Linked DNA regions of Caenorhabditis elegans. The protein of the gene in region 1 purifies or fractionates together with the protein of each later gene. This does not show direct contact. Each region holds a gene or a part of one and is shown in the gene's direction. Other genes may lie near its edges.

Evidence for each region.
Region 2: the proteins of stn-1 (region 1) and snf-6 purify together in Caenorhabditis elegans (affinity purification with western blotting, with the first as the bait; one study listed by BioGRID). This does not show direct contact.
Region 3: the proteins of stn-1 (region 1) and islo-1 purify together in Caenorhabditis elegans (affinity purification with western blotting; one study listed by BioGRID). This does not show direct contact.

The regions. Positions count from the first base shown.
Region 1 is NC_003279.8:9,498,680-9,507,001, forward strand, and holds stn-1 (Syntrophin-1), read left to right. Parts: upstream 1-2,588; 5' UTR 2,589-2,642; coding exon 2,643-2,738; intron 2,739-4,196; coding exon 4,197-4,318; intron 4,319-4,759; coding exon 4,760-5,675; intron 5,676-5,723; exon of another isoform or gene 5,724-5,786; coding exon 5,787-5,882; exon of another isoform or gene 5,883-6,048; coding exon 6,049-6,141; 3' UTR 6,142-6,152; exon of another isoform or gene 6,153-6,153; coding exon of another isoform or gene 6,154-6,297; intron 6,298-6,328; 3' UTR 6,329-6,479; downstream 6,480-8,322. Other genes in the region: F30A10.9 (PIN domain-containing protein), read right to left, coding at 6,154-6,297, 6,480-6,637, 6,689-6,837, 6,892-6,957, 7,013-7,086; Ubiquitin carboxyl-terminal hydrolase usp-48, read left to right, coding at 7,877-8,058, 8,111-8,322. UniProt on the Caenorhabditis elegans protein: Adapter protein that binds to and probably organizes the subcellular localization of a variety of membrane proteins. May link various receptors to the actin cytoskeleton and the dystrophin glycoprotein complex (DGC).
Region 2 is NC_003281.10:1,528,971-1,536,004, reverse strand, and holds the start of snf-6 (Sodium-dependent acetylcholine transporter), read left to right. Parts: upstream 1-3,177; 5' UTR 3,178-3,236; coding exon 3,237-3,335; intron 3,336-3,719; coding exon 3,720-3,813; intron 3,814-4,173; coding exon 4,174-4,233; intron 4,234-6,010; coding exon 6,011-6,186; intron 6,187-7,034. Other genes in the region: mtg-1 (CP-type G domain-containing protein), read right to left, coding at 489-660, 1,106-1,183, 1,581-1,702, 1,883-2,004, 2,064-2,112. UniProt on the Caenorhabditis elegans protein: Mediates sodium-dependent uptake of acetylcholine at neuromuscular junctions during periods of increased synaptic activity, may also prevent spillover to adjacent synaptic sites.
Region 3 is NC_003282.8:8,133,791-8,140,815, forward strand, and holds islo-1 (Interactor with SLO-1), read left to right. Parts: upstream 1-2,598; 5' UTR 2,599-2,807; coding exon 2,808-2,810; intron 2,811-3,042; coding exon 3,043-3,160; intron 3,161-3,570; coding exon 3,571-3,775; intron 3,776-3,981; coding exon 3,982-4,297; intron 4,298-4,651; coding exon 4,652-4,782; intron 4,783-4,833; coding exon 4,834-5,134; 3' UTR 5,135-5,302; downstream 5,303-7,025. Other genes in the region: isp-1 (Cytochrome b-c1 complex subunit Rieske, mitochondrial), read right to left, coding at 366-440, 1,045-1,121, 1,174-1,429, 1,475-1,536, 1,581-1,724, 1,769-1,886, 1,934-1,990, 2,209-2,250; Mitogen-activated protein kinase pmk-3, read left to right, coding at 6,456-6,707.

The DNA.
Region 1 (8,322 bases):
TGTTACAAGTGTAAAGTAGTCGGGCACGTTTCAAAAGACTGTCCTCAGAGTTCCACCAATTCAGGTGTGACCAATCGTAAGACTGAGCATTCTGAAGTGAATACGCTCGAGGTTGGGTCTGGAAGACAGACATCGCCTAGTCTTCGGTTGAACGTGGAAGGACAACAGATCGATTTCACTTTTGATACAGGCAGTGACATCACCCTTATCAGTGTCCAGAACTGGCAAAAGATCGGGAAACCGCATCTCGAAAAGGTCCACCACAAAATTTGCTGTGCCAATGGTACTGAAATCGCTGTCAAAGGTAGAGTGCTCGTATGGTTCAAAGTCAAAGGTGTCGAATACACTGAGTATGTGTACGTCTGGAACAGAAACAATAATCTGTTAGGCACCAGTTGGATGCGCCACTCGCCTCAAATGCGTGATGCTCTGGCCGTAATGGTTAATCATATATCCACTGTGGATAACTCGAAGCAAAATATGCACTCGTTCTCAAGGATTCCTACTGGATACAAAGATCGTGCTGAAAATGTTGAAAGACATGTTGTTGCATCTGCGCCGCGTAGTAGTAAGCGCCAGTATGTAAGATTTGCGCGCAATAAAGCGTTTCAGATTGGGCAATTGTGCCTTGCTCGGGTTCAAGGAGAGCACAATTTTGGCTGGATTTATGGAGTGGTTCAAAGACAATTGAACGGAGTACTCTATGAAGTACAGTTGGGATCGAGAATTCAAAGAATTCACACGAACCAACTCCGTCACATTTGCGGTCGCCGGAGCCGTGGGAATGACTATGCTTCATCATTCATCGAAAATCCGTGTAAATTGTCGCTCTTGGAAAACATTCCGCGCTCTAGTTGCCGCCAAAAATTTGTCGCTCAAGGTGTCCGTGGGGAGGGGAGGGAAGCTAATCCAGTTTTAGTTTCAGATTCTTCTGTTTTTGGTTTTAGTGCTCCAGATTTGTCAGCTTGTGATTCTGTTGGTTCTCGATCTGCTCGTGAAGTCGTCTCGTCGGTTGCCGGCAATGCTCGAAATGCTACTTGTGCAAATATAACTACGATTCATGTTACGGAGAGCAAGAGTTCGTTGAAGAAAAGCCACAGAAGACGTCGCCGTGTGGCAAAGAGTCGCCAATCATATACTTCTGGAAGTTCGCCAATCAAAGAAACCCATCTGGACCCCCTGCTGGAATCCGATGTTGCGAGTGACGGCGAGCGTTTCCAACCCGGCATCCTCCTGTGTCATTCTCTTCGACAGAGTCACCCACGACAAGTTGTGCGAGGATCAGCCCCAAACACTGATCATGCCTCCACTCGCCGCAGAGGTCGATATACCGCCTCTGGTCGTGATGCCCCTAGCCCAGGCATAATTTCTGGCTTTTTGTCATATAAGAGGGGAGATGTTGTGGACGGAACGTAAACCTGAACTTTATACAGACGTGACCTTTGGGTCATCATGAACTTATCGCGTAAGCGACCTCTCTTTATAATTCATTACTTCTTACACTTTCTTGTAATAAACTACTTCTCTCCTTGTCTCTCGCTCAATACACAACAAAGCTCAACGTCAAAAAATTGAGAAACAATAACTGGTGGAGGGGAGGGAGGGAAAAAGAAATCAGATACGGTCAATGATCTAAATGTTTGAAGAAAGATCAAGGAACAAGATTCTAAAATTATTCAATTTTTTCTCAAGTTTTTCAGAATTGTTTGACACAGAATAGAATAGCTTTTGGAAGAAAAAACATTGATGGATTTTCAGATGGATTTTCTATAGATTTTTAAAGATTGCATTTCTGCTGGGGTACTGTAGTTAGAGAGCTAAAGTATCTAGAGCAGCAATTGAAAATTAAATTTCATCACGAAAAACAGAACACCTAATAGTAATTTCAATTTATTTCGAAAATAGGAATTAAATTGGATAATATTTAACTTTCACTGTATAAAAAAAGTTGTAAAAGGGAATACTTCTGATTAATGTAGTAATTGCAATTGGTTGTAATATATCGTACGACACAGAAAACTACAACTACAACCAAATGAGAAAGAAAATAAAGAAAAGAATAAAGGATCAACTTGCTTCTTCTCTCTTCAACAATACAATTGCATGTGTTCGTCACGTAGTGTGTAAGTGTTCGTCTCGTGGCGGGAAGCCAACGGGATTCTTCGCCCAACACACAATCATAACCGATATAAATTCGAGGCACCAAGCTGAGAGTCAGATGGAAAAAGAAAGAGTGAGATGTAGAGAAAGAAGCGAGACTCGGAGTGCGCGGTAGAGTTCATCAGAGAGCATGTTAGGCAGAAGAGGGAGCAGGAGTGCCGTCGCACTAGCTCTCCGGCTTCATCCGACGGAGAAGAGAGCAGTTGAGAGAAGAAGAAAAACGAGGGGAAATAGAAGAGAGAGGACTCCTCTGCTGCTCCCACAGCCCAAATATTCTATTATTGCCCCTTTTCTTTCTGTTTCTTTGCTTCTTAGCATCTTTCTCTTCTGGTTTTTTTTCTCGCTTTCCTTCATTCCGCTACAAATCCTCCCGAATTTGAATTCAAATTTTTGGCATAAATTGGTATATGCAATATTCAACTTTACAGAGTACAATCGGCTCAATTTCGTAGTATTGCTCCGATTAGATCGGCGTCGTTTCGATGGCCGCCGTTCGATCCGGCCTGGTCGACATTTTTGTTCAGGGACAATGGCATCGTGTATTGGCTACTCTCGATCCAACTGCTATCACATTACAAGTAATTTTTTAATGATAAAATATTCCGAAAACTAGAAAACCACTGGAAATTATTGTAAAACAACTCATTTTTCGCGAAATTCTAAAAATAAATTGGATGGTTTCTAAAAACGAACAAAAATCTATATTTGAAACAATTATTGTTAAATAATTTAAATTTCGGTATAATAAAATATCATTCATTTTTCTAATGTGGAATGATACAAGTTGCTGAAAAATAGTGGTCGTTCTTATTAATACCAAAATGCGAAATTTTGCTATTCAAGACAAAAGAATACGGTACCGTGTCTCAACACGATCGAGCACGGGTTTCTGGCTCGACCCCTCGGTGTATTTTGTGCAAACACCGTCACGCGCAAATGCATACACTTTTTCAACGCGCTGCGTGAAAATTCCTCTTGCGATTTCAAAAAAATTTTCCCGCCATTTCAGCGTCCGATGGAGCGCGGGGTCGAGCCAGAACCTCGTATCGAGCAGTTATAAATAAATTTGTCGGAAAAGAATGTGCGCCTTTATGAAGTACAGTAGGCTCTAATCCTCACTATTTCGCAGACTGTTTCGTTTTAGAAAAAGCAGCTGCTGGAGATTGGGTCTGGAGATTACTGTAGGTTTTAAAGGCGCACACACATTTTTCACACCTTTAATCCTTTAATCTTTTTGTAAGTTTTCAGTCGTGTCGAGACCAGGCACCGTATTCTGGCGTCATAAAACATTTATTTTTTTACGAAATTACGTCGAACATAAGTTTTCTGATGCCCACGAACGAAATATATCATCTGAAGAGATCCATCTATGGAAACCAGAAACGGGAATGGGATCATATTACAAATAGTCTATGCTTCTTCTTCTTCTTTTCCTTTCGCCACATTTTGGCTCATTTTTCAAAAAAGGAGGCGAGTTGGCTATGAAAACTTATTAGTCGTTCTTGCTAGAAGAAAAAAGAAAGAATGGAATGAGGCTACTTAGAGATGAAGTTTGTATATGATACGACTTAAAAGGAGAAAACGGATGGAGAAAGGTATACTGTGACTACAATAATTATCTTCTTGGAGTCTATATGAACTCTTCGTTCCGACATATATTCTCAAGTATTAAAATGTGTATAACTCTTTTGCTTTCTTATCTTTCTCATCTCTGGTATGACAGTCCAACTGAAATTTTGGGAAAAGACAAAGAAAATATACCATTGCTTGTCAAAAAAGAAGTCGTCATGTCATCTACTCCCCCTTCTCCAAGTATTCCGTCAATCGAAGCTCCGGCTTTTGACAAATTGGTATGCCAGCTTGCATGATTTCATTTTACTCAGTCTCCTCCAAAAATTACATTAGCATGTGTGAATTTGTTTGAAATTGTTTAAAATTTGGTCGGGAAACGTGGAAGGGGATATTTATGAGCAAGGGAAGTGAAATCCAAAGAGAAATGGGTTCAAGCTGTGATGAATAAATATACTATTTTTCAGACAATGGAGCAGAATGAGGCTGAAGCAGAGAAACGGACAGTTCGAGTTGTGAAATATGATGGAAATGGATTAGGAATTTCAATTAAGGGAGGCAGAGACAACAACATGCCTATTGTGATCAGGTATGAATGAACTTGCGGAGATTTATACATCTCGTGTGCCATTTCGTGATTTTACGTCAATTTTGAAATTTTGATCTATGATAAATAATTTTTAGTTTTAATGACAAGGGCAATTCTCTAGAGAAAATTTTTATAATAACTGAAAAATGGAAGAATGGACTAGCAAACCTCGTACACAATCGTGTGTCGATTTACTCAGCGTGTGTACTCCCCGTGGAGAAGCATTTAATTTTTTCAGAAGATTTTACAGTTTTCGGTCAAAAACAGAAAGTATTTCCCGAATTATCCAAAATTAGGAATTTAAGGCGATAACTGTGAAATTGTTTGCAAAAATGTACACTTCTCCTCGGGCAGTACACACGATACGTAAATCGACACTTTTTTTTCTGAAATAGAATGTTTAATTTAGCAATTAAAGAACAAAATTAATTTCGATTGTAGCAAAATCTTCAAAGGAATGGCAGCGGATCAGGCTGGAGAACTATTTCTTGATGACGTCATTATCTCTGTGAATGGAGAAAACCTTCTCGATGCTTCACACGAAGAAGCTGTAAGAGCATTGAAACGAGCTGGACGGGTTGTTGACTTGCAAGTACAGTATAGAAGAGAGGATATGATGCATCGGGAAAATATTGTGGAAAATGTTGAATGGGATGATGATATTCGGGAACGAGTTAGAACAATTGGTTTAAAGCTTGCATATGTGGCAAGAGCTGGAATAGATGCAGATGCAGAAGGTAGAATTCTAGAAATGAGAAGTCCATCAGGAAGGTATTCCCTAGCAATGAGATGTTCAAGTAGTGAAGAAGCAGATGGATGGTTTGAAGCTTTACATGCCTGTACCACGTGTCTTCTGACTCAGGCACTGGCTCAAGTCAATATAATGCTCGGTAACAACCCCCAAGTGAGACATATGGGTTGGATTGCAGAACAAGTATCAGAAAATGGAATTTCAATGTGGAAACCTAAATTTATGACGCTTACGAATAGTGAGATCTTGTTCTATGAAGCTGTTCCACAGCTGAAAGCAGAATGGGCAGAGCCAAGACTAGTACGTCCTCTGGTGGCAACAAGAGTCGTTCAGACAAGTTCTCGAACTGCGCCAGTAATTAAAGGTCTCACTGATGTGATCTCTTTCCGTATGAGAACTGGAACTCAACAAGGTGTTCGGACACATACGATCCGGGTAGAAACTCATGCAGAACTGGCACGATGGGTTCGTGCAGTAGTGATCGGTGGATATGAAGCATGTCTTTCTACATCTCAAGTCTCTGCTCCTTGTCTTTGGCGAGGCGAATCATGCGAACTAATAGTTAATCTAGACAATGGAATATCATTACTTTCGTCGACTGGAGAGGTGAGCTCATTGGAATAATTTAGCAATAAGAAAGTGATAAACGTTTTCTAGATTAAAACAAAGATTTATAACATTTAGAGAAGCTACATTTTCTTAAAGCTTACAATTCAGGTACTGTGGCAACATTCGTTTGAAACGATTCGCGCCACCGGCGATGATGGTGGTCGTTTTCTCTGGGTCGATTTTGGACCACCACATGGTGAACAGGTAAAAATGGATTTTATTTTAACCTTAATTTCATACTTATAGAAAAAAAACGGATTTTTTTTGTGTAAAGTTTTTGAATAAAAAAAAGGATAGGCAACAAAACAATAAAAGCAGATCAACAAGTAATATTCAAAACAAAAGAAGCATAAATGAATGAAAAATTTAGGAATTGGATTTGCTAAATTCCGCAAAGCCAGTCGTGTTCATTCTTCATTCATTTCTCGCCACCAAGGTGTATCGATTAGGATTGTACGCGTGAAGCATCAAAAGGTTAGTTCATTGGAGCTCCATATGCATCAGGCATTCGCTCAATGGAGAATCTGTGATTGACAATGTACATGATCGGAACTCCTGGGATCTTTCGGATGCGGCGCTTCAGATCACGATCACAAGTGGCCACAATATAGCATTTATGCTGAAAATTATATTATTTTTTTCATTTTCAGATTCGTTATTTGTTCAAGTTTGCCAAACAAAAAGACTGCAGCAATACCACATTCCGTCTCCTGCCTCTTCTCGTCATAATAGATTTTATTCGTTTAAGATTTGTTAGATTTTATTAAATGAAAAACAATGAAAAATTATGAATAAACGAACCTGTGTAACTCTTTGAACCAAACAATCATCAGCATATGTTCCTTTGTGCTCACACTTCAGTCTCTGCACACGTGGATCTTTCAGAACTTTCAGAGCAATTTTGAATCTTCTCACTTTTTCCAATTCAGCCAATACACAGTCAGTTGCGTACACAATAGCTGAATTATTGTGATAAAATACAAGAAAACGAAAGAAAGTGTATGACTCACTTTTCGCGAACAGACAATCCATGAATCCTTGAAACATGTCAATGCGATTTTTGACGGCGAAATTCACAAAATTGGTATCGACAATAACGTGAAATGGTGGACCCAGCTGTGTATTGTATTTCATAAACATAGCGGATGAGATTTTTGGACTGAAATTATGAATTATTATTGTCTGGACACATATTCGTACGAATAAAACTTACGCACGGACCAATTTGAGTTCTTGTTCATCTACTTTCGGTGTTCTAATGACTCTTTGTTCTTCTTTTCTGAAATATTGCGTTTTAAATCAAGGTTATTCGATAAAATTATCGTTATCCTTACATTCTGTTGTCTGTCTTTTTGACAAGCTTGTTTACAGCGCTTTTTCTGGCGTTGGACTTCAAGCGTTTACCCATTTTCTGTAAATTAGAACATATATTTGTAAATTAGCACATATATTATCGAAGAAATTTGGAAAAAACGAAGAAAATCTTTAAAATAAGAATCTCGAACAAAATATCGAGACCCGAAGAACTCGGGGGATGTCCAATTGGGGGGATTACCAACTCGGGGGATTGGCCCCGCCCACAGAACCGTGGCTTGCAATACGCCCATTTCTGCAACTGCCGCACGGTTTTGAAACTGTATTTTTCTTGTTAATTCTCGCTCTATTGAGAAAAATACAGTTTCGAAACCGTGCGGCAGTTGCAGAAATGGGCGTATTGCAAGCCACGGTTCTGTGGGCGGGGCCAATCCCCCGAGTTGGTAATCCCCCCAATTGGACATCCCCAGAGTTCTTCGGGTCTCAAAATATCAGAAAAAATTTTTGCGAAAAAGTCCGCAGAGTTGGTGCTCCGTGTATGCACCAGTCAATGCATTTAATCTGACGCACAAACCAGCATTTCAAGAAATTGCATTCAATGTGCATCGCATATTCAAATTTCTGTCAGCTATTTATGTTTTTATTTTATTGCCCCGTTTCTTTTCTCCGCGGACTATTGATTATTGACGATGTGGAATAATTCATACACGAACTTTTAAATCTTAACGCCAAGAAAAAGTGCAAGAATTCAGTTTAAAATTTGAATAAAAAGTAAAATAATATTTTCGCGTTGTCATGTTTTCAAAGTCTGCTTTTATTTTTATTCTTAACGAGAACACTTCCTTTAATAAAGGAATGTCTAAAAAGATTTTCAATTTCAGAAAATGACAAAGGAGACTGACAAAAAGCCAAAAGAACGTCCGAATCAAAGAAAAGTTGCATTTCGAAATGAAGCAATAAATGCATTAGTAAATACAGATGAGGACCAAGTCACATTTTCGAAAGCAATGGAAGTTGCCAAATTAGATTGTCAAAAGTGTCTTCTACACGATATGCATAGTTCAAAGTAAGCATTTTTATTAAACAAACTATAATTAATTTTGTTTTTATCGATTCAGGTCATCGAATTGTCGCGATAATCCATTTTGTATACATCGATTAGGACTCGAGAAGTTTGAAAAGTTGATAACTCAGGAGCAGGAAACTAAAGAAGAAGCGAAAAAAGATCAAAAGCGGAGAGATCTGAATGATCAACCAGCCGGGCTTATCAATGGAGGAAACTTTTGCTATGTGAATAGTTTTCTTCAAGTCTGGTTCAACGTTCCTGAGT
Region 2 (7,034 bases), on another chromosome or scaffold:
AATTTAAGATTTTCAGTAGAAAAATGACACTTTTCGCACTGGAGCGCACTTGCAACATGTGGTCGGCGGGACTTTGAATTTTCAGACGATTTTTGTCAATTTTAAGGGGTTTTTAGACGAATTTTCAGTGCAAAATTTGAAATTTAGGTTAAAGTTCGAATAATTGCAAAAAAAAACCGAAAAAAACGATTTTTTAAGTAAAAATCCATGTTTTCAAAGTTGGTGGCCTAGAAAACCAAAACTCGGCCACCAACTTCTCCTCATTGAATTACTGACGTCACCAGCTTCAAAATGAGCCCCAACATGCCCAGGTTCCGTTGATTTTGAACTTTGGAAGTTTTCGACACAGATGAAACCGGTGCTACAGTAACCCGCGTGGCGAGACCCAAAAATTTTCAAAATGCGCGGAACCAGGGCATGTTGGGGGTCATTTGAAAGCTGGAGACGTGGGCGATTCGAATTTTCGGGTCTTGAAGCGATTTTCTCACAGCTTTACGCTTAATTCCGAGCGTATGTGTTCGAATCGCGTTGATTAGGGATGATTTTCCGACATTCGGGATTCCGACGACCATTGCCTGATATTCTGTTTTGACGGTTCGATTGAAACGTGGCGTATTCTCCAAAGCGTCTAACATTGACAGCTTCACATCGTTCAGAGCTCTTGAAATTTGCAGTTTAGTAGGGAAATTTCGGCATTTTCCAGCAATTTTCTGCATTTTTCAGAATTTTTCAGAATTTTTATGCATTTTTCTGAATTTTTATGCATTTTTCAGAATTTTTCAGAATTTTTATGCATTTTTCTGAATTTTTATGCATTTTTCTGAATTTTTATGTATTTTTCTGAATTTTTATGCATTTTTCTGAATTTTTATGTATTTTTCTGAATTTTTATGTATTTTTCTGAATTTTTATGTATTTTTCTGAATTTTTATGTATTTTTCTGAATTTTTATGCATTTTTATGCTTTTTTCAGATTTTTTCAGAATTTTTATGCATTTTTCTGAATTTTTATGCATTTTTCAGAATTTTTATGCATTTTTCTGAATTTTTATGCATTTTTCAGAATTTTTATGCATTTTTCTGAATTTTTCAGCTCCAAAATCACCTTGGAAGCCGTTTTTTGCAGTCTGTGAATAAAACTTTTTGAACGCCCCGCTCGTAGTAATAATCCTCGATTTGGTGCCTGAAAATGGGGAATTTTTGAGAAAATTTCGGATTTTACAGCGTTTTTTCCGAAAAAAAGGTAAAAAGAATCGATTTTTCTTCATTTTTTATAAAAATCCGGTCGAATTTCACCCAGAAATCGTTAAAAAAGTGCAAAAAATCGCGCTAAAATAGCCAAAAATTCGAATTTCCCGCCACTAGTCCACTGGAGCGCACTTGCACTGCGCGGTCGGCGGGAATTCAAATTTTTAGGTGATTAAAGTGGATTTTTGTCGGAAAATCGCAATTTTTGACTAAATTCGTTGAGAAAAAGCCGAATTTCGTCGAAAAAATCCAAAATTTTTCGGAGAAATTCTGAAAATCTTGATTTTTCAAGCGTTTTTTCCGGATTTTTTCGAATTTTTCCGGGTTCTCACTTGTATTTCTTCATATCTATCAAGTCACACTTGTTCAGGACGAGAATATGCGGTCGAATAGCGTATAAATGTCGAAAAAACTGCTGATTTCGGCCGGTAATCGGGATTCTGGCGTCGTGGACCTGGAAAAAATGTCGATTTTTGCAATATTTCCCGATTTTTCAACTTTTATAGGCGGAAAAATTCACTAAAATTCTTACACCAGTTTTTTACACCAGTTTTTCGGTTTTTCAGCGTTTTTCCGGTGATTTTACAGATTTTCCAAAAAAAAAATCGTAAAAGTTCCATTTTCCATGCAAAACCTCAATTATCAAGTCGACGGATCGCAATTTCGCTTCCATTTTTTTCAATTGTACGGACATATGCATTGGAAACCACTGCCGATAGTCATATTGCGCGGGAAGTTCGAATTGTTGGCGAAATTCTGAAAAGAATTGCGATTTCCGCGCGGAAAACTGAGTAAATAATGGGGTTTTCGGGTACCTGGAGTGGAAATTCGATATGTTGTGTGCAGAAATCGACGAAAATTCATATTTTTTAACTGGAATTTGAAAAAAAATTGAGAAAAAATTGTGAAAACAATTTTTTCCTGTAAAAAATCAAAAAATAACCTGAAATTGCATGATTCGTACTCTGCGTCTCTGCTCTCTCATGCGTAGCAATGGAGCGCAATTGCAGAGTCAATTTTTAATAACTTTGGAAAATCCTAATTTTCACCATTTTTAAGGGATTTTTTACAATTGAAAATGCGAAAAACAAACAGAAAATGTTTTTAGCCGCATTTTGACACCAAAAACTACACAAATTACTCCCCAGAGAAATATAGATTTTTCGAGAAAAACTTGATTTCAAGAAAAACTGTGATTTTTGGAGTCTTCGTGATTTTTAGAGTTTTTCTAGTGGATTTTCGGTTTGCACCGGTATTAGTTTTAAAATGTTGGTATTCTCCTGAAAAATTCAAAAAAAAACTAACAATTTCCGGTGTTTTCTGGTATTTTCTCTGTAAAAATGGTTTTTTTTTGTTTAAATCTTATTTCTTTCATAATAAATGCTTTATTCAACCAACAAAGATGCTTCCAAACCCAATTTAATTTATTTCATCAGAATTTCCATTTCAAACACCCGCCAACAAGCGATTTCTCAATGGAGCGCGTTTGCATTGGCAACCTGGAACATTTTTATTTTCCAGAGCGGTTTTTCGTGAAAAACGTAAATTTTTCATTAAAATTTTCGATTTTTATAATTAAAATTGAATTCTGGAAGTGAGTTGCAGCATTTTGACCCCAAAAATCTAAAATTTGACCCGAAAATTATTGATTTTCAGCTAAAAACTCATTAAAACCGATTTATAGCCAATTTTTTCCTGAAATAAACTAATTTTTCCCACATTTTCCCACAATTTCTCACTTTTTCATTCGTTTTCCCCGGCTTTTCACGTATGTTTTCAATTCGGGCGAGCCAACTGCTTCCGAAATTTGTGTAACAACGGGCCGCCGCGTCGCCTCGTTTCTCTTTCGTTTTTACTCTAAAATTCGTATTTTTCTTCGCAATCTCTTGCTAAATAGCTCAAAAAATCGTGAAAATTGCTAATTTTCAGGTTTTAAACCGACGAAAAATCGATTTTTCCAAGAAAAACCGAGTTTTTCCACACCGAAAATGTCGGTTTCGAGCAACGATCCGGAGCAGAGGAATGGACGGGGCATGGCAAGCGGAAACAACGTGGATATGAGCCTATATCCTCCGTTTATTAAGCAGGTTTGTGGAAAAATTCGGAAAATTCGAGAAAAACGGATAATTTTGACGTTTTTCCCGAAAAATTTGGATGATTATCGATTTTTTGTGAAAAATTCCAAAAAAACCACAAAATTTGATGAAAATTTCCACTAATTTTTGTCCTAAAACCAATAAAATCATTGAATTTGCTGAAAAATTGCCGAAAAAATAAATAAAATCAAATTCCCCGCCACTAGTCCGCTGGAGCGCACTTGCTCCACGCGGTCGGCGGGAATTCAAATTTCCGTTTGATCTACGGCGGGAAACGACCAATTCCCGCCATTTTGTTAAAGATTTCAGCGAGAATTTTGAGTTTTTAGGGAAAAAACTGATTTTTTCGCAAAAAAAACCCTGAAATTTTTCAAGCTCGACGCAAAATTGCCCGATTACACACGAGAAGGTGACATCGAATATCCATTCGAAGAGATTACGGGTGTCGGAGACGAAAATAGGATACGAGGTGCGACAAAAATCCACGTTTTTCGATTTGGTGGCCTTCAAATCCAAAACTCGGCCACCAAACTGTTTTCATTGAATTCGCCACGTCAGCAGCTTTTGAATGACCCCCAACATGACCAGAATACGTTGATTTTGAGCTTTTGTAGTTTCGACACAGCTGAAACCGGTGCTACAGTACCCCGCGTGGCGAGACCCGAATTTTTCAAATTGCACGGAAACAGGGCATGATGGGGGTCATTTTGAAGCTGGAGACGTGAAAAACACGAATTTGTGTGAAAAAATCCATAAAAACCAAAATTTTTATTGAAAAATGCTAAAATACCAACAAAAAAAATTTTTGTGAAAAAAAAAATTTTTTCAGGAAATTGGAGTAACAAGTCGGATTATCTGCTAGCAGTAATTGGTTTCACAGCGGGAGTTGGTAAGAAAGCGAGAAATTTGAATTCCCGCCAAACCGCTAAACAACACGCGTTGGTGTACTAGCGGAGTGTCGTTGTTTTTCTTGTAAAAACGTTGATTTTCTGGGGGCTTTTTGAAGTTTTTTCGCATCAAATTGATGAAAATAGCAATTTTTAACTGCTTTTTCATGGAAAAAACCAATAATTTTCCCTAATTTTTAGGCCAGAAATCCGGAATTTTTACGATTTTTCGGCGAAAACAGGGGCCAAAGTCCACGATATCAGCAGATAATAATCTGACCATACGAAATGAGTACGTGCGAGAAATTGATAAGATTATAAATTGATAAGAGAGTGTGTGTGTTCTAAAGTTCTAACATCTCTTGTTTTGGGGGATTTTTTTTTGGTGAAACATTGGATATTTTTGGGATTTTCAGTGGAAAAATGGATAAAATATCGATTTTTCTGCAAAAAAAACTCGAAATTTCAATTTTTCAACGCATTTTTCACGTTGAAACCAGACAAAATCAGTGAAAAAATCGAATTTTCAGTAATTTCTCAATAGAGCGCACTTGCTTTATTTTTTCCAAAAAAATTAACTTTTCTATTGATTTTTTATAGTTTTTTCTTCTAAAAACGAATTTCAACACCAAAATTTTGGAAAAAAAAGTTTAAATTGTCATTTATTGGGTCTAAATGATTTGAAAAGCGAAAATCTCACATTTCTAGTAATTTTTTTCAAATTTTCAGTTGGAAATTGAGTTTTCCACTCATTTTTACCCTAAATTGGTTTTTTTTCGAACAAAATAGATTGATGGCCTAACTTTCGGGGGTTCTAGGCCACCAATCTGAAAATGATGGTTCCTAGCCATGTTTATCGATTTTTTTTTTGGAGTTTTTGGTTCAAATAATGAAAATAAAAACATTTTTAACTGGAAAATCACAAAAATTTCGGTTTAAATCCCTAAAATCTTCTAAAAATCGATATTTTCGTGACTTATGTGCTTCTACTCGTATTGATGACATAAAAACTGTATTTATTCACATTTTCAGCCTTAAATTGGCTGAAAATGTGAATAAATACCGTATTTCTGCCAACAATTTGACAATAGAGCACATTTGTCACTCGGAGATGCGGAAGCTATGCCCAAATTTTCTATTTTCCCGAAAACTCGTGTTTTTCATTTTTTTTTTTCCAGTGATTTTCACAGTTTTTCATTACGAAATTCGGCTTCTCCATCAATTTTCACCCCCGTAACCCGATTTTCAGCCAATTTGGACTAATTGTCGTAAGGTTCGGTGCCTAGCAGGTGTTTGCGTACTTTTGGGGCTACCGTACTCCTCGAAATTCAAATTTCAAACTGGCTTTTGGGAAAAAAGTCCAATAGCGGCAAAATAAACCGGAGAATTCGAACTTCAATGTGAAAATTCCTGAAATTTCCTGGAAAGTTCGAAAAAAAAACGTTTTTATCAACAAAAAATTAAAATTTCCAACTTTCAATATATTTTTCCAGCATTTTCATGCGAAAATTCAAATTCCCCGCAAATTTTCACCCCGGTGACTGTTTTTTCAGCCAAATTGTGCGAAATTTCGCAAAATTCGGTGTTTGCGTACTTTCGAAGCTACCGTACCCCCCTCGAAATTCAAATTTTTTCAATTAGGAATTTTTTTTTGTAAGATTTTAACGAAAAATTTGAATTTCCCAGTGAAAAATCGCGAAAATTTCTGGAAAATCTTGAAAAGAAATTTTTTTTTTTGGAAAATTTTTAATTTTTTTACAATTTTCTCTTCCTTTGCAGGAAGTTTCTGGAAATTCCCATTTCTAGTATTCCAACATGGCGGTGCAGCATTCCTTGTACCATATTTATGTATGTTATGCCTCGCCTCACTACCAATGTTCTTTATGGAAATGGTACTTGGACAGTTCTCCTCGTCGGCTGCGATTAGTGTTTGGAAGGTGGTTCCGTTGTTTAAGGTGAGAAATTTTGGCGGGTTTTAAGTGGGAAATTTGAATTTTTTGGGTGGAAATTATCCGGAAGCTCTGCAAATTGTGAAAAGTTTGAATTCGAAGAGAAAAAAAAATGTTTTTTCGCCAAAAAAAATATTTATTTGAAAATTTGCACTCTCCTCAGCAATCCTCACTATTAAATCTTCTAGATTTGAAAAAAAAATAAAAAGGAAATTTTATATCCCAAAATTACATGAACATTCTCTTTCAGAGTGACTTTTGTGCTCCTACGCAGATTTCTGGCATAAAAACTGTATTTATTCACATTTTCAGTCATAAATTGGGCTGAAAATTTGAATAAATATCGTATTTCTGCCAACAATTTGACAATAGAGCACATTTGTCACTCGGAGATGCGGAAGCTATGCCCAAATTTTTATTTTTCCCGGAAAAACATTGGATTTTCAGCATTTTCCGGCTAATTTCACAGATTTTCACTGCAAAATTCGACTTCTCCATCACTTTTTACCTCGGGAACCCGGTTCTCAGCCAATTTGGACTAACTGTCGTAAAATTCGATGCCAGTAGTACGCAAGCCTCGGTGTTTGCGTACTCTTGGGGCTACCGTACCCCTCAAAATTCAAAATTTGAGTTAGACGTCCGCAAAAAGGTTGATTAGGGGTAAAATTAGACGGGGAATTCGAATTTCAGTGTGAAATTCGCCGGAAAATCCTGGGAAATTTTGAGAAAACAGTTTTCATTTAAAAAAAACTCAAAATTTCCAAATTTTAAAATGTTTTTCCCCAACAATTTTCATGCCAAAATTCGAATTTCCTACGCAATTTTCACACCGGCAACCGCTTTCTCAGCCAATT
Region 3 (7,025 bases), on another chromosome or scaffold:
GATTTTTTCGAGGACAGCGATGTTTAGGAGACGCAGAGAATGCCATGACTGTTCTATTTGCCAAGTGGGTTATTTGTATTGGTTATGCTCCGCCTCATCTAGAGAACCTCTTAAATTACGTTTATTCATTCTGCAATGAATTTCGAACAGGAGTGCATTCGGGATCCTAGAAAAAATGGATAAAAACGGGGAAATAATAAAAACAGGCAAACACTAAATAGGACGAAAAATAAACTTTATCTGCCAAGAATACGACGTAGAAAGAAGGGAACAACTACTTTCACAGGAGAAAACCACACATTCGATTAGGAGACGCGAGTTTTCAAAGTGGGGACGGGGAAACTTTTGCAAAAAAATCTGAATATTTAGCTCGATCCAATGACGATGGTGGCATCCTTGAACGAGTATGCTGGTACGTGAAGATTCAATGGAGCTGGTCCCTGGAAAAAATGAAGATTTTGAAAAAAAGATCACCTTTACATTTTTGTGAATTTTATCAACGTTAGGGTGACTTGAAAACATTTTTAATGTCAAATTTAGAAATATAAACACTTTTTTCCGCTATTGAAGTTTTAACTTTTTTTAAATTTTCAACATTCTGAGAGCTTAATTTATGATAAAGATTTTCACGTAAATAATTAGGAATTCAAAAAAGAATTGTCTAATTACTTTTCCTACGTTCGGAAAAAAACTGATTTTCATCAAAAAAAGCGAACTTATTTACTACTCTTTTATTCCGTTTTTTTTAATAAAAAAAAAGAAACTGTAAAAACTAGGTATTTATTTAAAATTATCAAAAGCTTTACTAAGAAATACCAAAATTTACCGTAATAACGGTTAGGATAGGACTGAACTTTCGTTCGTTCCAGAAGATATCTTCTTGTTTTTGTTTAAATTATCTCTCTTTTTATAAAATTTTAAGAGAAAATTACAATTTATCATTAATTATATCAAATCGCGAACTTTTCTTCAATAAATTATGAAAAAAAATTATAAAATTTGAATTTTTCAGATTGTACTACATTTAGCAAATAAATGTCTTACCTTTCTAATACGTCCAGAAGCGTCGTAGTGAGATCCGTGACAAGGGCAGTAATAACCTCCGTAATCTCCAGCATCGGCTGAAAATTCAAAATATGATTTCAAAAATTCAGGAGAAAAAAGACTGCATACCAATTGGGACACATCCAAGATGGGTGCACACTCCAATGACAACGGACCATTCATCTTTCTGCACACGTTCGTCGTCATGTTGTGGATGACGGAGATCGGCGACAGGGACGGCCTTTTCCTTGGCAATCTCAGCCTTGGTACGATGTTTGACGAAGACTGGCTTTCCACGCCATTCGAATGTCTTTGTTTTTCCTTCTGGAATATCAGCCATGTTGATTTCGATCGAAGCCAAGGCACGTTGATCAGCTGCCATAGCCTGGAAAAATTAATTTAAAAACGGTGTAATGGAAATTCAACATACTTTGTAAGAAACAAGAGTCTGTACAACTTCCTTTCCGGCCCACAAAGATAGAACTCCTCCAGCTGTAATAAAACAATGTTTAGACCGAATAAAAAATAATTCGAACCTCCATAATACAGAGCAGTTGGAAGAGCACGACGTTGATCCTCGGTGTCACGGGCTGGCACTTGAGTGTTCTTTGTAGAATCACGACGATAGTTTGACATATCGGGGAATGTCACATCAGTGTGAGCCAAACGGCGAGAGGTGACTTAAAAATTAATGAATTAATATATTAAATTCAATTTCAAATACCATTGATTCCCTTGACAGCAAGTCCATTGGTGAAGACACCTCCGGTGCTGTGACTAACAGCGGCTTGACGAGCTTCAGCCGTGGAGAACTCAGCTGGAACATCGCGGAAAGCAGCGACCTGGATACTAGACAATAAAATAATATTCTGCAACTTTAAATACTTACATTATCGGCGGCTGGTGTTGCGGCAACAAAGTTTACATGTTGCTGGGATCCGCTGATCTGAAAGAAAACTATTTATAAACTATTGGACAAAATTTTAGAACTGTAATCGATATCTTAATCATTTCGACACCGTCCAGTGTTTTGGAACGAGAATAGTTTAAACAAATACATTTTAAACAAAATTTTCGAACGCGTTTCTCGCAAAATATGATTATTTCTCGAATTGAATAGATTATTGGAGTGTTTTTCTTCATATTTGTTCAAAAAATACTTACCACTTTGACTGCAAAACCTCCAGATCTAGCAAGAGAAGCCATTGCCCCAGTTGATGCCTAAAATAATTATTTTAAATATTTTTAAGTTTTTGAAAAAAATAAAACAATTTTTAAAATATGAGAACGGCTAAATTAACAGATCAAGGCAATGAACAACTGAATAAAACGTTTTCAAATTGATGAATTTTGCCGAAATTTGGAATTTTAAAGAATTAAAAGCTGAAAAAAGGCTAAAATTGGGACAAACTCAACGGGCGGACTGTCTGTATGAAGAGACACAGAGAAATTTTCGGCACGCGTCGCCCTCCGCATCGTTGTCAATAGGGCGAACATGCATAGAGACTTTTCCGTGTGCTCAGACGAGAGATTCCTTCTCGTTTGTAATAATCGTTGACAGCAGCATCTCAATTTCAAAATAATGACGCGGGTACGGGTACTAGAGGCCGTTTTGCCCGCACAACACTCGGCGACAAGATATCCGCCACCAGCTGTGAATCGGATGAAAAATACAGAAAGTCGTCCAGCTTTTATTTTTATTCCTGCTCAATAATACAATTTATATTCAGTTCTAGATTTTCTTATTCAAATAATTATTCAAGATGGTAAGTGTTTGATAAAAGATGATCCACACGATGAGGAAATCCACGAAAACATCTGTTGCCACAACCAACACTCCAGTTGACACACCAAACTATTTAGAAAAATAAATTGAGAGAAAAGATGTGGCTGTTTGATACTGCTCTGCGGCACGAGCTCAAAGAGTTGTAATCAAGGTCCAATCGAGTCGTGCCGAAAAGTTTAGCCTTTCCTTCTTCCGGACCTGATTGGTTTCAGATGGGAAGTAAAAGAGGACGCGGCGCGGCACCGTCGAATCAAGAGCGCGTCCGCACACATTTATTCTTCGGATCCAAAGCTGAACGACCACATCAAAAGCGGAAGCGGAGAGCTCAGAGTGGGTTTTTGTGTGGAAATTTGCTTTAAAAAAAGGATATTACGTAGACGTCTAAAGATGATGATTTTTCCTATATTTTACACACAAAGGTCTTGCCACGAAGACGAATTACTGTAATATGGTATCGATTAACAGGTCGTTGAAAATCTTCGGACATCTTACAAAATTTTTAAAAATTACAATTAAAATAAAATTCAAAGAATATGGTACAAGCGGCCCATAAATCGATACCAGCTACAGTAATTATAACCATCAAAGCAATACTGAGAAGTAGTAATTTAAATTGACTTTATGGGTCTCACCACGATGTACTGAATGTAGCACAGAATATAGAGTTGTTGTATTAAATATAAGGGGTTTTCATGTCAATTTGATTCTAAAAACTCATAAATATTTTCGAAATATTAAAGACAAGCTTCACGTAACTGCAAAGGATAAGAAAGACGAAATGGTTCAAGCTGGTGCAAGTGAGATTGATCCTCAACAATGGACTGGAAATCAAAGAGTTCTTCATTTTGGACCAATGGCTCAACGTGATCCATATTTCTATTATTATCCAAAAGGATGGGATATATTGTATCCAGCAACATTTGGATTTTTTCCATATAGAACATCGTTAGTTTTTTGATAATTGAAACTGTAAGCTGGAAATATGAGGGTTGAATAGCTCAACTAAATAACTCGTAGATTATAATTTAATGGAGTATGTCCTAATACATCATATTCAACGCGAAAATTCAACAGAGACGCAGAAAATATACATCAAGTTACTTTATCAAAAATTTAAAAAAAAACCCTGAAAAAAGCATTATTTTTTAAAGAAAATTTCGTGGCTCGTCATCATTGATTTGTTGTACAGCATTCGGCGTTTTTCTCCTAATTGGAGGACTACTAATGTCACTTCTTGGATATAAATACCTTTATACTTCACCATTCTGGACTTGGCCATACGAACAAAGAATACGACCACCACCAATTCAAATTGCGGGTCCTATTTTATTTGGACTCGGATGTTCGTTTTTGATAATTTCATTAATCTACTTTTTATGCACAACAAAGCTCTGTGATCTCTCGTTACACCACACAAAGAAGCACAATGATCCTGCTAGGCTTACGACTATTACAACACATTATGTGGTAAGTCTTTTTGATTAATTGAAAATTCAAATTCAATTAGAAACCCACATGTCCTTGTAAAAGTTGCGACTACACCTTTGAAAATTTCATGAAAGTAATATAAACAATTAAAGCTAACAAATTAACGTCTAAACAAACTCAAAATGATCGTACCATAATTTAAAAAAAACTATTAAAACATTTTAGATTTCTGAAAATGGCATAGTTTTGGTAAATTGCCAAATTAACCGAAACAGCAATGTGTTTGAAACCTTACAAGGCTTAGATACAGTTCACTAGAACGAAGAATGTAGGTAATAATGCGTATCAATTCAAAATCAAAATGTACCCATTTTAGTTGTTACACGTTTACAGCCGCTACCTCCGATCTTTGAGAAAGATCCATATCAACCTCTACCTCCACCTGCGTACCCAGTTCTTGAGAATCGACACGCAATGTCTAATGTAGTTAAGCCACACGATGAAAAGAAACTGTATCCACCAGTGTAAGAACTTCATTCAAACCGGAACAAGATTCTGTAAATCTATAATTTCAGAATTCCTGGATGTTCCACACTTTCCCTTCATAGACGATCTCCGAATAACATTTTTGTAGCAAGTCCATATAATACCCTAAGAGCTACAAGCGTTGGAAGATATCAATCTGGATTCCTTGACACGAATTCAATAATGGAAAATCGGTTAGGATCAAGGCAGCCGTCAGTTGCAAGTAGAAGACAATCAAGTGAAGCTTCAAGTCAAAAAAGATCCAAATCAATGGGACCTTTACATCGAACTAACTCCAATCGAAGCAAAGGATCAGGAAGATCAAGAAGGAGAGAAAATAGTCAAATATAGACATTGTTTTATGATGTTAACCAGATTTATATTGTTTTTTTTTAATTTCAAAATTCTGTATCCACAAAGATCAACCGAAAAGGAGATGAATAATTTGTAGATATTTTAAAATATTTATCTACAATAATATTTTCCATCAACCAAATAAAAAATTCGACCTTCGCCCTTTGTATGTCTTCCTCTCGTTTCCCATTTTTCACTGCGTCTCAATCGCTGCTGACTCATATCTGATTGACCTCACTGTTTCTTCCAATTTCCTTGGTCACTGATAATTATACTTCCGTCTTTTTTCAGTTTTCTCCAGTATTTTTATCATAACATATACTCAAAATCAATCAATACAGGAACGTCTAGTCTACAACTTTATTATAATAACAGGTGAGATATTTTGTTTTTGGTAAACTTCATAATAGTGGAGCGCTGAACAAAAGACGAATTTTCTGATAATTTAAAATTGAAATGAAATATATTATTTACCCTTTATAATTAACTTTGTTTGAACCTAAATATTGCTCATATTCGAACAAACACTGTACACTTTTTTACGAAATTCAAAGAGACGCTACTCAGTAAATAAACAAGAAAATATAAAACAAACTGTAGTGCTCATCTCAATTTAACTGAGCTCACAAGTATTTCACCGATTTTATTAATTACAATTGATTGAGCACCCGAATCTTTTACATAATTTCATGGTAGTTTTGCACCTTTTTTGCATAATTCCTCTTATGGGTCTCGCCATCAGAAAAAGTTCTGAGAATTTTTTATGATCCCTCCATTCCACAATTAATGAAAAAATATTTTGAAAATTTCACAAAAATAGACAAAAACGAATAACATTTAAATCTGACTCTTTGAGACCCAATTCAAAAATATCCATGTGTCTTTAAGTACGCGTTACAAAAATTGCGAGAGAACAATTACTAACAGTTCAAATGTAAATAGATATTGTTAGTAATTGCCAAAACTATGGGAAATTCTTCTATTTAATCTTCATTGATTGAGTTGATTTTTTTGTTGATAAATTCAAAATTCCTAATATTTTCTAAAATATCGAATTTCCTAAAGTTATAGTGAATCCGAAAACCTCCAAAAGAAAACAAAGTAGTGACCATAAACAATAAAAAAATCATTGTTTCACAATTTTTACACTTCACTCCGCAAAAATATAGGTCGCTTGAGTGTTCGAGTTTACATGGCGTGTTTCGCAATAAAACTTTCATTTTGAAATCCCCGACACTCCTCTAATTTCCCCCGACAACGCTTTTCGTTATTGATTTTTTCACTTCAAGCCCTAACTTGAACCCATTTAAATTTACAGATGGCGTCAGTCCCATCGTCATCTAGTCTCCCAGTGTCGCATGTCCGTCGTCATGAAGACGTGTCAACACCAAGTGCACCACCAACCAAACGAAGTAATAATCAATCTCAACCTCCAGAAAGCTACGAACCCAACACCTGGTTGCAACAACAACGAGAGCAGGAACAACAGAAAAAGTTAGCTGCAGAGAATATTAAGAAGCAGAGTATCGAAGCAACGGGAAACAACGAGATGGTTGGGGAGGAGGAAGAGGTGAGGGAGAAAGATTTTAGATTTCGTAAGTTGACGAAAGTCAATCCGCGCGTTTTGTTGATATGCGGAGAATCATAAAAATGATAAAGGTAAAGCTTCAGTATGACTTTAATCTAAGAAATCGACCTTAATACTCTAAAAAGGATGGAAATAAAACATTCCATAATTAATTTTTTTATAATTGTCAAAGTTTCAAAACTAGCTTAATATTTGTAGAATTGACTAGAATTGACATTTTCAGAAGAATCTAACCCCGCGCACGCATAGCTCATTTTTTGAGAAGTTTTTTCTACAAAAATTGCAACACAAAATTATTGC